Linked DNA regions of Coturnix japonica. The protein of the gene in region 1 purifies or fractionates together with the protein of each later gene. This does not show direct contact. Links are inferred from orthologs where the notes say so. Each region holds a gene or a part of one and is shown on either strand. Other genes may lie near its edges. The genes, in order: GID8 and RMND5A.

Evidence for each region.
Region 2: the proteins of GID8 (region 1) and RMND5A purify together in Homo sapiens (affinity purification with mass spectrometry; 5 studies listed by BioGRID and IntAct, counting the BioPlex papers as one, with this or other methods). This does not show direct contact. The link is inferred for Coturnix japonica from reciprocal best matches to the Homo sapiens genes GID8 and RMND5A.

Annotation. Positions count from the first base shown.
Region 1 is NC_029535.1:7,559,475-7,562,479, reverse strand, and holds part of GID8 (glucose-induced degradation protein 8 homolog), read right to left. Parts: intron 2,821-3,005; coding exon 2,624-2,820; intron 2,129-2,623; coding exon 1,931-2,128; intron 1,604-1,930; coding exon 1,430-1,603; 3' UTR 1-1,429. UniProt on the Homo sapiens protein: Core component of the CTLH E3 ubiquitin-protein ligase complex that selectively accepts ubiquitin from UBE2H and mediates ubiquitination and subsequent proteasomal degradation of the transcription factor HBP1.
Region 2 is NC_029519.1:77,632,771-77,636,596, reverse strand, and holds part of RMND5A (E3 ubiquitin-protein transferase RMND5A), read right to left. Parts: intron 3,233-3,826; exon of another isoform or gene 2,958-3,232; coding exon of another isoform or gene 2,927-2,957; intron 2,089-2,926; coding exon 1,946-2,088; intron 1-1,945.

The DNA.
Region 1 (3,005 bases):
AAATTAAGTGAAAACTAAGTTTAATTCTACAGGGTAATATCTACCATACAAGACTAGATTATGTACAGTATGGGACTGGTATGACAACTGCCAGTGCATCGTGATGTTCAGCTACCTCACCCACCAGATCGGTCTTTGTTCAACAAATCGTTAATAACTTGATATACAGACCTATAAACCTACAGACTGATTTGGCAAGATTAGTGCTACCACTGGATATATACCAGTGAACAGTGCTGCAAAATTAAGTTGACCTGAACATCCCATACCCACAAGATTACAATTTGTTGACTTGAAAGTCTGGACTTCACACGTAAAACATTAAAACTAGAATCCTAACTGGAGTGAGGGCGGGCAGTAAACAAAGTAATACAGGTGGAGATGAACTGTATCTCTTCAGAAAGGTATGGAAAGAATCGAAAAAAGTTGACATTTCAGCCTTTAAAGACAGCCCTGCTCTGCTCAGCTCAAGGCATAAAAACAGCCCAAGTAGCTCTAAAACTACAATTCTTATTCAGCGTGAGTAAAGGCAGATCCTGCACAAGAAGATGCATCAGAGGCTTCCATAAGTATCTCTCCCCCCACTTCATTGCCTAACACAAGTATGTCTTTCAGCTTACAAAAATCCGGTGGCCCTCCAAGCTCTACTAACCTGCTGGAATCACTGCAGTGTCTGCAGCTGCAAACTCTACATGGAAGGGAAAGGTCCCCTTTAAGAAAAACTCTCAAATGCCTCTGAGGGCCATTTTGGTCATTCATGAAAATTAAGAAAAAAAACTTATTTCCAACAATACTTCTCATGAAAAGATGGGTCACCGATCCATTACGAACATAGCTCTCACCATATAAAGCACCAAAAAGTCAGAAACAAGGAAAAAAAAAAGTTCTTAAATTAAGATTTACAAGTTTGTACACTATTTCCTAGGCAAAAGGTTGACCTTACTGCAAAGTTTATAGGTGAAAACATGACCAGTTACTCTTAAGGGGAATGTATATCTTGCTATAACTTAAAGGTAGAAAATATTCACTGTTCTATATACACATTTCAAACAGGAGACAGTTTAACTTAACTGAATAATTGCCAATGTAACTCCGTATTAACTCACTGACCACTCAACTAAGCATCAGTAGCCAATTAGAAAGCTTGAGTTCTGTACTTTTAAAAACGTGATTTTTTCCTGTCCTGTTTAATTGGTTTTCTTTTAAAAATGTATTATAGTGCATAGCCTAAGTCAGACTTTCAAAGAGATACAGCGCCTTTCAATGCAGTTTTTGCAGCATTCAAAAGGGACTTTTCTCCCTTCAAATTAGATGTTCATTGAAAAATCTGAATTGAGTGCTGTACTGTAGTAAAAATATTTCAGTCACAGACTGATATAAATGTATACTGTGCAGTACTATGATTGTTTGATGTCCATCTGCACACATTTTACTTGGGTTCTTCAATTGTCCCCTTGCTGAGGTCTGTCATTTTGGGGTATTTCACTTTCTTCTGGTCTAGCTCGTTCTGAGCCCACAGTAGTAGTTTCAGTAATTTTGCCAACTTGGGCGTCGATTCACGATTTTCATAGTCTAGAACAGCTTGATTAACCTCACTCCATACCTGGAAAAGAAATACTGGAGTTTAGTAACAGTTTGCCTATGATTAACACTTTGTAATGTTACAGAGACATTGATAACATCACACACAGCTTGTTAACTCCTCAGAATGAGGCCAGGACAAAGCTCCATATACCAACAGCCTAGAGAAACAAAGAAGAAAGTCAAACAGCCTATTATTGGCATCATCAGGTTTTAGAATGCTGCTTAAGAAATACTTCTGCTCTTTTGCACAGAGCTATACACATTTCCATATATTTCAAAAATATTTGGACACGGTTTTCACCACACACAAATAAAATACATCGACTTCCTTATGAGCAAATTCTACCTTCTGTCGCTGCATCATGTTCAGCAAGTCTCCAAATGGTGATTCTTCAGGATTATCAAAGGCAAGCAAAGCCAGCGTGCGCTCCATTTCTGTCAGGCATTCCCGGCTCTCCTCGCCTTGTTCTGCTAATTGGGTCTGAGCAAATTCCAGAGCTGCTTCTGTCTCACGCTGCCGAATCAGTTCAATCAAATGCTGCTGCTACATACAAAAAAAAACCACAGTGATATTAGCTAAACAAAGCAGCAAATCTCCAGTATTTCGAGACCATAATCTTCTGTCATTTGTATGTAATTTGAGACAAATACTAATCCATACCATGAAAGCTTAAGGTCATTTCTAAACATCTAAGAAGTAACAGATTTGCCAACAAGATTTACTAGTAAAGGCAGTCTGAGGTTTCCAAATAACACGTTTTGAAAATGTGTTTCTAAAGGAACCACCAGAAATCCAGATTAATAGTTGGTAAATCACAGATCATTCCCACTGTTAAAAGTTTCCAACTTACTAATTAACATGATATGACAGTTGTTGTACCATGCCACAGATCTTCCCATAACTATTAAATGATATCAAAAACGAACATTTGAAACTGCAATTATGTTCAGCCACAAATCCCTTAACATACTCTTAAACTCACACTTCTTCCAGAGTTTCTTAACAACTTCTAAAACAAAAACGGCCACTTGTCCTTACCTGCAAATGAAAGTAGAGATATCTGTTTGTATCTAACAGTTCTGGATGGAGGCTGTTTATTAATGAAATGGCTTCTTGAATCTGTCCTTTCAGAATCATTTCTCTGATTTTTATTCTTTCATCGAGAGTCTCTAAATCAACGCTGGGTTCAATTCCAGACTCCATTCGAAATTTCTCTGCTGCTTCTTTAAAGCCCTCTGAAATAAAAACGTTTTACCTACAAATCTGTTTCACAAATGGGCTCCTATTTTAAGAATTTGCATTATTTTGTTTCTCCCTCCCATCCCCAACCACATTTATATAGTTTTAATGAGAAAAAACAGATAAAGAAAACTAACTTTGTTTTTCTAAAACAAATGTAGTTGTTGGTAAAGGTTTTTAA
Region 2 (3,826 bases), on another chromosome or scaffold:
TGGTGTTCCAGAGATGTTAATCCAGCCATAAAATAAATGAGAAAATGCTGGGTGAGGATTTAGACACAGCAAACGGAACTCAGATCTCCTGAATCAAAGCAGAGGCTGCTTCTTTAAATTCAGACAAGCATTTCATTTCTGAAGCAGTAATATTTTGTCCAGAATGTGTCAAGAATCAATTTGCGACATCAATTACAGTTAATTACTGCTATTAGTTTCAGCTTAAGTATATTATAGGGAAGCAATGTGGAGAAGGCAATTTCAGTAGTTTTTGAGCACGTTTTCCAGCAGCATGGAGAAAATGCACTGAACATACATGGAAAGTTCCCTTCAGGTGTTACTGTCCAGGGTTTAAACTTTGCACTTTCATTTGACAAACATGCTGGGATTTCAGGATATACCTTCAAGTAGCAGTGAGAAGTGATAAATCCAAACTACTTGAATGCTGAACAGCTCCTATCTAAGGAGATAATCCTCACTGGTGCCCAGTAACGTGTCCTCAGCTCCCAGCAGGACAGGGGACACGTGCAGTTTCCACTGGAAGCCTTTTGTTGAAAACATTATAGACATGTAGCAAGAGCGAGAATCCAGGGGAACAAGCAGGTCACACAGTGCAAGTTGAGCTCTGTATGGAACAGCCCTCTGAAACAGCTTTTCTGACCCCTTACAGGCACACAGTAGATCACTGCATCCCTTCCTGCTGTTTATAAAACCAAGCACTTCAAATTTAACAAATGCTTTCATTTATAGCCGTTCTTTTTAAAATGAAACCAGTAGACAGAATGCTAAGACAGCAACATCGCTGTCAGAACTATGCACAAGACAAAGCAGCAGCAATTTGAATATCAGACTCAAGTCTCAACTTTATTAAGCTTGTATTCATTGTCTCCGTTGGCCTCTAAGAAATATTGCCACTAATTTCCATGGCAGATTTACACCCTTTATACAAGACCAAGGGCTGCTGTACCTCAGACTATTGAAATGAAAAAGGTACACCCAAATCTGAAAGCTTTTAATACACAGTCCACATGGTAAGGCAGAATAGGAAAGTTTCAAACAGAGGACAAGATTACATAGATTTATTTCAGGCTTCACACCAGTAATAAGGATGGAATTTTACTCTAGTTAATAGGTTTAGATGCAGCAGCAAGGATTAGAAGAGGCAGATGCACCCTTAAGCTTTGGATAACAGTGATGCTTGGATTAAAGCTATTAGTACAAAGTTTGAGCTCTCCATGATGGTCAATCATAAGCAAAACAATCCCAACAGCTGCACAGACGTTCTGCCCTACAATGCAGCACTATGCACTTCATCAGCTTGTTGTGTTACTGTTAAATGATGCTTTAATAGCTTACCACTACTAACAAAGTTGAAATGAGATACTCAAATGATGAATTAGTGCCCTGTAATGACACAAGTGTTTCTGTCCAGCTGAAAAGTTGTTTTTAATGAAAGTAGAATAAATTCAACCACAACGTTGTGAAATTAAGCCCTAAGAACCGATGACACATCTGATATATGTAAGGATGTCTGTCTCAAATTCTCTCAGCTTCTAAGCTGCCTTCAAGAACAGAATACTACTTCCTGGTCATTTGCCGTGGACAATTAATCAGAACTGAAACACACATCTATAAATAATACTCCTTATCAAGACTATTGTTGAGGCAAACATTTTGCTATGCAGATATAATACTTTCTGTTACCAGGTCTGGACCTCCATGCCACGTTCTCTTGTTAATGACAGATTCGAGCTGCTCCAAAATGAAGCACTCTGTATAGGAGTTCTGAAGTGCTGCTGCACACCCTATGCTCTTATGTCTACCTCCAACCCTACACTGCTGCAGCTGAAAGGAAGACTAAAGATGAACTGATCACAGTTCTGTGAGAGAGTATCTGTGATCACGGAATACATGCAGTAACACCATCAAGCCACAGTACACATACCTTATCAATGGCTTTTCCAACTCGGGATACACTGCTGTGAATGTCTTTGTGATCAGAGGCCAGTTTTTGAACTGTGTCCTTTATTCTTTTACAACACTGCGTCATAACAAGTGAAATTGTCCCTGACAAGTCTCCATCTTGATCTAAACGCAAAAGAGAGGAAAATTACCAACTCTGTTAGAAAGAAACAACTTAAATGACTCAACATGCAACATCATAAAGACAAGAGGTATTAAAAGAAAGAAATATGATTAGGAAGCATTGGTGAAGCTTAAATTAAGTAAAACACACAGGACATGGCTCAGCCCACGAGGAAACCAGTGTGGTACAGAAATAACACTCGGTAAGTGCAGCACTTTAAAAAGTAACATAAATATCTTGTGCATCCTACTTGAGTTCAGCAGATTAATAAACAGGTCTCCAAGAAACACCCCCAAACACACATAACAGGAAACTGACTCTAAACTGCTACAGGATCAGTTCCCTTCTAAACCTCTCCCTGAAGACACATCGGAGCACTGTGTTTAAAGTCAACAATGTGACAGCAAAGTTTGAATTAATGAGGTCCCAATTCACTCTCAACCTCAAACTACCTCCTTACTCCATAAGGTGTCAGCCTGCATTTGAGCTGTGCAAAACGTTTGCATCCTGAGCAGTGGGAACAGCCCCAAATAGTGCCATCAGTCTCAGCCTCTCCTTGAGGGATGCAAAATAACCCATAAAGGCCCTGAGTGTAGACATCAGGGTTCTAAGAACGAGTGGATGGTCAGGTAGGATTTATCTCTAGCAGTACAACGTTAAGCTCACCCAACAGTGCAGTGCTGTATGACCCGTGCTGGGGGCAATATAAATATGCAATGCTCACAACCCCCTTACCGTCTCCTCTCACCTAATTCACATCCCTCCTGCCACAACCAACAACAGCGTTAAAAGCATCCTTCTGTGCTTTACTGCTTTTGGTTTCTAACTTGCCAGCCTTACCTCTGCATGTCTCTCCTCTCTCTAACTTCATTCTACTTGAAGATGGATCCTTTTAGGCACACACACTCAGCACTTCAGCTCTACTGAAGGCTACTTTAAATAGACCAGCCCAGAAATGCTTTCTAACATCCCAGATCCAAACAATTCACGTGGAAAATAAAAACCCAAACCATTTCTCTGAAGATTTTAAAAAGCAAATCACTTCTTTCATCAAGTTTGTTCCCTTCTCATTCTGTACTTCAGCAGGTTTCTGGTTCGAGTGACACCTTAAGAGATCAGTTCCAATGCTGGCAAGCTGAGAACAATAGAAACAAACAGTAACTATTACAATGCACGCTTAACAATGTGCCTTGGAGAGGGCAAAGGAAACCCAGCTCACAAAGAACCATTCAGCAGCCCTTACTCTTAACGCCTTCTCTTATGCATCCCAACTTTCAACTCTGCTATTGGCATCAACAGCAGAAACAAGCTTATGTTGTTACATACTACAATTGATCACCCCTAGGTAAGTAAATAACTCCACACCCCCCATGCACCAAGTTTCTTTCTCTGGTTCCATGAAGACAATGTTAAGCTCTGACAGAGCTCTTCGTTTTTCCTATTGAGGATGGAAACAGTCCCTTGAGTGGACAGTCACCAATTTGGCTCAACACATCTCTTACCTTCAATAATAACCATTAGTTCTGTTACTGTTTACTTCTTGTGACAGGCATTTTAAACTTACATAAAGGATTAAGTAACTTTCTGGTGCCTTCTCCCAGGAAGTCGGATTATACCACAACCGAAACATAAGTGCTCGTTCCCCAAATCTGCCTCACCCAACAAACAGAGAAGATCAAACACATTAATTGCCTTTTTTTTTCCTAGAAAAGCCATTAAGCTAAAAGCCAAACAACTTAT